2 linked regions of the Callithrix jacchus genome follow. The protein of the gene in region 1 purifies or fractionates together with the protein of each later gene. This does not show direct contact. Links are inferred from orthologs where the notes say so. Each region holds a gene or a part of one and is shown on either strand. Other genes may lie near its edges.

Region 1 (3,810 bases):
CTGGAGTTCCATCAGGATTCAATCCCTTTGCTTTTAATTTGGCTTCTTGTAGGGCTACTTTTCTTTTTTCTACTTCTTTTTCCAGTAATTCATAGTTTGGCTGTTTAAGGAAAAAAAAAAAAAAAAAAGTTTGTGTTTCTCCCTTATAGTAGCTTAGACTCTTAGCATGTTGACTTAAAAGAGTAAATAGATAATACCTTTTTTCTGGTATAAAGCCTAAGTGTTTCTATGCAGATATCCTGGATTTCCTCTTCTGTAGTACCAAAAAGAAGAAACCAATGGGGACGAGTTGGCAATGGAATCTAAACCATAAGAACAGAATGGTTTAAATTTTTGTTATATCTGTATTGGAACCATGGAAAATTTGTGTTATTTATCCTACAGAACAAAATGGGAAATAGGCACCTACCTGAAGTGCTCTAGCTGCAAGGTAGATGCAAGCACATGCTATAGTCTCTGGTTGAAATCGAACAAAAACATTGGTTCGTAGACTGTCGTTCATGTAATTCCTGAAAAATATTTCAACTATAAGCTTGTATGTAAACAAACCAGTTCTTCTGAAGCTTACATAAAATTGGAGACTCAATCTACTTTATTCTTTTTTCTTCTCTTATTTATATTCACATCCTCATATTCTAGCATATAACAACTCTTAACTCAAAAAAAAGCAGTAAGCAGTAAGAATTTAATACGAGGACCATTTGCAGTTCTCCAATATATATGACCAAAGCCCCTTTAAATTATTTCGTATTACTATCCAACTAGAAATTACTCCTAAAGTATTATTTCTGTAAAAAGCAATGCTTTCAAAGTCAATTCTGACAAGATTAGTTTCAGAAATGATAAACCACTCCAACAATACTTCAAGCCATTAATTATTGACCATCTCTCCTTTATCCACAATAAAGCTGTGTCAACCAAGTTCATTTCAAAAGCTCAAAGTATCGTTAACAGGGGTAAAAAAACATTTTCAGTAAGTACCAAGTTAAACTTACATTAAGAAAGCTAAGATACTTTAGAAAATCTAGATAGGGAAGTAAAGAGCAATAAAAACATAATGGCCTTGTTTACATACCTTTTTTTTGTGACTAGGTAAAAGAGATAAACTATTTCAGTTAAAAAATTGCTGAACTTTTATTATTAATGAACTCTCCCCACAATATTCCTAAACTAATAAAGAAAATTTACAGGTCATTTAAAAGGTTAAGCTGAAATTAAACGGACGATTTCTAAAAAATCCTAAACCATCAGAACTGCTATAATCCATTTTATGAAACACATTTAAAATGTCATGCATTTTATAAAAGTAACGAGACTTTTCTAACATTACAAACATTTACTGAGTCCAAAAGAAGCATGGCAGTCATAAATAGGACATCTTGCTGGGAAGTCCAAAATATAAAAATTACTTCACTAAGTCCTTCACATCAAGTCTTAAGGAAACAGTAGTTGTGGCTGAACCACAAACTCCTTGGCTTGACCTTTAAATAAGCCAGAACGCAAAATCACACATCTGCATCTCAAAAAGTCCAAGTGCTAAAGCATTTAAGCAGTATAATAGTAACATCTCTTTCAATAACGAAGTGCTTCTTACTTCTAACATTACCAGCAATACAGCCAAGCAGCTATATAACTATATAAATTAAGCCAGTGTGGGAACTGGTGCCCATTTTAAACTGCAAGTTTGTAGTCTCCTTTGGTAGAATTCATGCTATACATACTAAAAATAAAAATTTAGTCAAACTCCTAATAAACCATTTAATTCATAATGGCTGGACAACAAATCTATCAAAAATGAACTATTCATTTTGATAGTTACAAGTATACATTAAATACATAGGCATGTCAAATAGTTACTTCTAGAAGCAAATATACAAATCCTTTTGACACCCCGACAGAACTAGAAGATGCTGCCAGATGGATATGGACCACTTCAGTGAATCTCGGATGAGAGCTTGCACTGGATTGGCTGGAGAGCAGGGTAGCCAATCAGGCCATCCTGAGGTCATGGGCTGAAGTGCAGAGGGCAGAGTTCTATGACTTACCATCATGGACTACCCTTTAATTAAAGAGTAGAAAAAAGAACAAAGTTAAATTGAGTTCTCCATTAAAAGTAATTAGTCAAGCCAAGAAAACAGGAAGCAGAAATAAGCATTATTTACCTTTTGGTTAAAAAAACAAAAACAACAACAAAAAGCCCCAAAACAAACTTATCTCATTATTTTGGAAAGGGAAACGAAACTTACTTTATTTCTGCTTCTGTTTTCCTGGCTAGGAAAGAAATCTAAAAAAGTGACTTACCAGGCAGTTTGAACCAGGGTTTGATTACGTTCACATTCTAAGACTTGTAAATACATAACAATGATCTGAAGGACAAGGGAAAAAAACTCAGTTTAGTATACTGGTAGTTCTTTCAGACTACAGAGTTCAATAAAAAAAGTAACTGAAAATGTTAGATTCAAGTTCTAATTCTACATCAATAAGACAGACCAACTTAAATGTATGTAAGATTCTAATGTGAATTGTATTACTAGATTTTTATATAAATTATGTTTAGAACTGTATTTCAAAATTGTACAGGAAAAAAGGCAATTAAAGAATATTTTTCATTGGCACTTTACCACGTGACGGGCACTGTGCTAGGAGATTATTTCACCTAATTTCCCAAGGTACATTTCTAGCCCAGATAGTTCTGACCTGAGCACTCGCTCTACAACTTATATTGACAATAATGAATGCTAAGAGATTTAGAGAGAAACAAATTTCCAATGTTTTACAGTGAGCAGCTACCACACTTAGAACATTCTACTATGATGTTAAGTGTGCCAAATACTTCTGTACCTACATATTTATCTCTTGGAACAAGGAACTTTACATCTCTGTTCTCTTGGTGGAAAAACTGAGACTTTAAACCACAGAAACAAAAATAACTTCTTTATGACCACAGAATTAAGATTTGAACCTAGATTTTTGTACTCTCAATTTTACTGATCAATCTCAACACCCAAAAGAATGTTTTTTGATGAAGCCTGAACCTTTAAAAAAAAACGCTTTTTATTTTAAAACCAAGGTTAACACTCACATAGAAACATAAATTCATATAAAGTAGAAATTTTGGAGAAGTCCTAATACTTACGAACCCAATTTCTGTACTCTACAACTCACCTTATGAGGATGCTTGACATGAACACAAAATCCCAACTCCTTTAGCACCCTCCTCTCTGCTTTGATAACTTGATTTTTGGTGTTAATGTAGTTCTGATCAAGGATCAGGGGGCTTGGAGTCCTATAGTTTGTAAGAAATAAAATCAAAACTGTTTTGCACATCCAAAAAATTTTATTTGTGGCATCTCCATTTTCCCTTCCAACCAACTATTGGCAACAGAAACCAGCTTTTTAAACTCCTGCAAACAAGTTAAAGCATTAATCTTGTGCTGTCCAAGTTATGCTAATTAAATATATACATCTACGAGACTAAGTTCAACTAAATTCTATAATGAAAAAAATTCAATCTAATGCTCTTGGGTTCATCCTTGTCAACTTTTCCATTCTGCTTATATTCTAGGGGTGTGTGTGTGTGTGTATACGTATTTAACTTTAGTGATAGTGTGATTTGTTATCACAAACCTCAAAGTCTAAGAGACTTTCCACTGACAAAACTAGTATGCTCCAGGCTGGTCCGACAGCAGTGGGTTATCAGAACTTACTAACATCAGTGTCACTAAAGTTGGTAGACAATCCCCCACTGCTAAATTTGACTGGCTTAAAAAAACACAAAAAACTAACGTGCTCCTAAGATTTACAGTACTA
Region 2 (4,408 bases), on another chromosome or scaffold:
TATAAGTGCAATTTATATTTAGGGAAGAGAGGAGTCACACTCAGTATCTTCAACATCAATTCCTCACAGATTCTGATCCCTAGTGTGTCTGAGAACACAAGTAACTGTCTATTTCTCTTTCTTGCAATTCTGCTCCTTCATCACTAGGCTAGGATGTATTGAGTGATGGAGTTGATCATTTTTCTGAAAGGTGATTACCAGAAAGCTAACATTGACCCCTCACATTAAACAGGGATTACCTATACAGCTGCCCTAACACACAGAAACAGCTTTTCAATACCACATTCTTAGTCCACAGAACCTCTGCAAAAGGGCCACACTGGAAATCACATGTATACAAAAGTGCTTACATTACTCTTCCATCTTCTCAATCTCTCACTGAATGACACGTGCCCACATGAAATAATCTGGCAATAATGAGGACCCATCAAAGATTCTACCAATTACTTTTTACCACACCCTATAAAACATTATTAAAGCTACACAATTAATCTTTTACCTGAAGGAAAATTTAGCCGACCCTTCATGCTCATTAAAATCATCTTCATCAAAGAGATAACAAAAGCACAGCATTATCAAACTGAGATCGCTAAACCATATGTTAAGAGTTTTGTTCCAGTGATTACTTTAGAAATCATAAGTGAATTCTATATTTTTACTAGCTGATAAGCAACAAAGGCTCTCTGGCTTTCTAACAAGGCTTCTCAGCCCTACTAGTGCACTATATCCACGCCACCTGAAACTTTACTGCCAAAGAAGAAAAAACAAGTGATTATCCACTAAGGAATTTCCTTCAACTTGGGCTCGCAATACATCTCTGAAGTCACTCCAGTTTTGTCCAGCTTTCTTTATGGAATAAGGTAGATCACGCACCAAGAGTAACAAACAGTGCTCAAGGAGACCTGAAATTGAGAATGGCTTTTTGGTCTTTTGAATACCTATTTATTTTCTAACAAATGGAGCCCTTTTGGAATTTCTGCTTTAGGCACCTATAATTTACATTTTAGAACACCTTCCTGAACTTAAGAGTTGGGCTTAGATTTGTGACCAGTCTGCACATTTCCTTGAAAGTTCACAGGAAAATGGGGTGGAAAAAGAAGTAATGAAGGGTCATCAGAGAAGTAAAATTTGAGTGTGGGCTGGGCACAGTGGCTCATGCTTGTAACCCCAGCAACTTTGGGAAGCCTGCAAGGAGTCGTTCTGGAGGACTGCTTGAGCTCAGGAGTTTAAGACCAGCCTGGGCAACATGACCAGACCCTGTCTGTACAAAAAAATTTTTTTAAATAGCTGGGCATGATGGCATGCACCTGTAGTCCCAGCTACTTGGGAGGCTGAGAAGGGAGGATCACTTGAGCCCAGGAGTTGAAGGCTGCAGTGAACCATAATCTGCACTCCAGCCTGGGTTACAGAGTGAGACTCTGACTCTAAATAAGTAATTAAATTCAAGCTTGCACTGCCCATTCTAGAATGTGACTGGGGTAGCTTACATCCTTTTGCCCTGTGGGGGAACAAATGTTATTTATCACTCATAGGACACTCACCTTGAGGATTTTTACAACCACTCTCTCATTGTTGGTGATGTTAATGGCCTCAAATACTTCACTATATTTTCCCCGACCAAGTTTTCGAACCAGTTGGTAATCATCTTGATTACTGTAAAAGGTAAGAGACAGACACACATAAATGCCAGGACTGGGGGTTAGCCAAGCCTATGCCCACTATACACGTCATCCAGCCGCTTCCGCCAGGCAAACACTTGGAAGTGTCTACACATCACGTCACAACTCATTCCCTAAATGAAAGCCACGACGTAATCTTGGCTCCCTTCACTCTGCAGAGCTCCTAACCTAACTGGTCTCTCCTAACTTGGGAAGATGGGGTAGAAAGGCAACGCTCTGAGCCAATCCAGAGGGGCGAACAAAGCACCCGTCCTGAAGGCCTAGAGGGTGCCCCCTCTGCCCCGCGGCTTCACAGCACCTGCTTCCCGTTTCACACCCTGAAGGTAGACAATCCCTGTTTTAAAAATGTGGACGTCTTTAAGAAATTTCCTCCCACTACCTCATCTCAGAAAACCGAAAAGGCAGAGAATTTTAATAGCTCCAGAGGACAGCTGTTGACTTCCCACCCTAGTGGAAACCCAAAAGTGTGAGAAGGGCTGCTCCCTCACTTCCACCCAGCGCCGATCCGTGCACCCCACACTTCTCTCCGAGTAAAAAAATCATTCCTTGGGGGAAAGGGGTGCGCAAAGCGGGGAGAAAGGGACGAAACCGGGGTAAAGGGGAGGGAAGAGGAAGACGAGGACATGTGCGAGAGCGGGACCTCTGTCTCCAGCGGGGCCGCGGAGGGATCGGCGGGAGACACCACCCCGGCCGAGTGCGGGTCGCGGGGGGCGGCCGGGCGGAGACAGGGGTCAGCGGGCCCGGCGGGGGACGGCGGCGGCTTTACCCCCAGCTCGGGACGTGAGACTCGTAGTCCCAGTACTCGCGGCTCCTCAGGCTGTTCACCTCGGCGTAGACCCGGGCCCTGCTGCCCGCGGCCGGGCCGGGCATGGCGGGCGGGACCGGGGGGCGGCGCGGGGCGCAGAGGGTGGCGGCGGCGGCGCGGCGGAGGGCGCGGGGCGGCGGGCGGAGGAGGCGGCTGGCCGCCGGGCTCTGGAGAAGGAGGAGGAGGAGCGCGGTAGCGGGCGGCCGCGCCAGGCCGGGCCCGCGGGGGCGGGCGGGCTGGGGGCGCGGGGGGCGCCGGCCGAGCCGGCCCGGCCCTGGAGCGGCCGGCGGAGCGGCGGGGCGGGCGGCGCTCGCGCTCCGCGGCGGTCTCCGCTCGGCTCGCGGCCCCCAGGAGGCGGCGGCGGCGGCACCGGCAGCGGCAGCCACCGGCCGGGAAAGGGGCAGCGGCGGCAGCAGCGGAGAAGAAGGAGGAGAGGAGGAGGAGGCGGAGGAAACCCGGAAAAGGGGCCGCGCTCACGGGGAGCGGCCGCCGCCCGGCCTGGGGCCGCCCAGGCTCACAGCGCCCCCTGCAGCGCGGGGGGACCCGCCGGGCGGTGCCGACCCCGCCCCGGCCCCACCCCAGCACGCCCCGCCCCCTCCCCCGCGCCCTCCCCCACCTTGGCCCTCCCGCTGCCCCAGGCCGGGCTGTCCAAATCGCCTCACCCTCCGGCTGGCCTTACCTCACGCCACAGGAGCCCCCACTTCCACTGGCCGTTGCCTTAGAACCCTCCCCTTCGAGTCCCGACCCTTTCAAGATTGTCGGTGGAGACCCTGCCCCCAGCTCTGCAGTTGCCCAGCTTTTACCCCCACACACCTCCCATACCCTCTTCTCGCCCAAACTGTCAAGTCTCTCTCCAGGGCCTCGCTCAAACCTCAGAACCTCTCCCACCTCAATACTTCTCCCTTCCCCCGAGACGTACCCCTCCTTCCCCCTCTGGACCCTTCCCTGTTCCCGCAGACTCCTCAGTCCCCAAGACTTCCCACCCTCTTCATTCAGAGTCCTCCTCACAAAACCCTTATACATTTCCCCCAAAAGCCCCTCCAGAGCCTTCCCTGAGAACCCTCTGAATACCCACTTTGGTCACTTGGTTAAGCTGGAGTCGGCCAGGTTGTGCCACCGCAAAGTTACAATTTTTCCCTTTGTGATTAGTAAGTCGCTTGTGGGGAGAGACGTTGAGAGTCTGTAAATCTCCTGTTTTTGTTGAGGAGGAGGGAGAGCAGGAGAATGTAAATTTGACCTGAAGGGACAGACTGAGATTGGGTATGCACCGGGATGGGTGGCCAGCTGAGCTGGCCTGGCTTCCAGTGTTGCCTGCGGCCCTGGACACTCCTCTCTTTTGACATTCTAGGCCCTTCTTCTGACTTTCTTTCTCATCCAGCATCCTTTCGCGACACAACCTCTTCACCCAGTCCAGGTTGCTCTGATTCCAATCCCTTTTCACATTCTGTTTTCTGGATGAAACTCTGGGCCTTCCTCCTTGACAAAGCTAAGAGCACAGACTGTGGAGTCAGATCTATCCAGTACTGCTGCTTACAAGCTGTGTGACCTTGGGCCAATTATTCAACCTCTCTGTTTCACAGATTCTACAGCATAAAATCAGTAATAGCACCCACTTCACAGGGCTGCAAGGAGAACTAAACAAAATAAACCATGTGAAACACTTAGGATGATGTTCAATATTAAGATACTATATGTCGAATATTATCATTACCAGACACAGGGCCTTGCTCCTATCACTCTTCCCTCCTTGAGACCACCACACGTCCATCTTTCAGTTCCTTCCATCCTCTAAGCTTGACTAGGAGCCACCCCCAACTCCTCCTCCCCACGTTCCCAAGGGTGACTCCTTTTTTCTATTCAAGTTTCACCTTTTTCTTTATTAGTAGTATTTTTTAGAGATAGGGTCTTGCAATATTGCCCAGGC

Evidence for each region.
Region 2: the proteins of CCNL1 (region 1) and CSNK2A2 purify together in Homo sapiens (affinity purification with mass spectrometry; 4 studies listed by BioGRID and IntAct, with this or other methods). This does not show direct contact. The link is inferred for Callithrix jacchus from reciprocal best matches to the Homo sapiens genes CCNL1 and CSNK2A2.

The regions. Positions count from the first base shown.
Region 1 is NC_133518.1:28,385,382-28,389,191, reverse strand, and holds part of CCNL1 (cyclin-L1), read right to left. Parts: intron 3,287-3,810; coding exon 3,166-3,286; intron 2,367-3,165; coding exon 2,302-2,366; intron 2,060-2,301; coding exon of another isoform or gene 2,035-2,059; exon of another isoform or gene 592-2,034; intron 510-591; coding exon 410-509; intron 303-409; coding exon 198-302; intron 101-197; coding exon 1-100. UniProt on the Homo sapiens protein: Involved in pre-mRNA splicing. Functions in association with cyclin-dependent kinases (CDKs). Inhibited by the CDK-specific inhibitor CDKN1A/p21. May play a role in the regulation of RNA polymerase II (pol II).
Region 2 is NC_133521.1:16,079,267-16,083,674, forward strand, and holds the start of CSNK2A2 (casein kinase II subunit alpha'), read right to left. Parts: upstream 2,920-4,408; 5' UTR 2,550-2,919; coding exon 2,446-2,549; intron 2,003-2,445; exon of another isoform or gene 1,829-2,002; intron 1,654-1,828; coding exon 1,542-1,653; intron 1-1,541.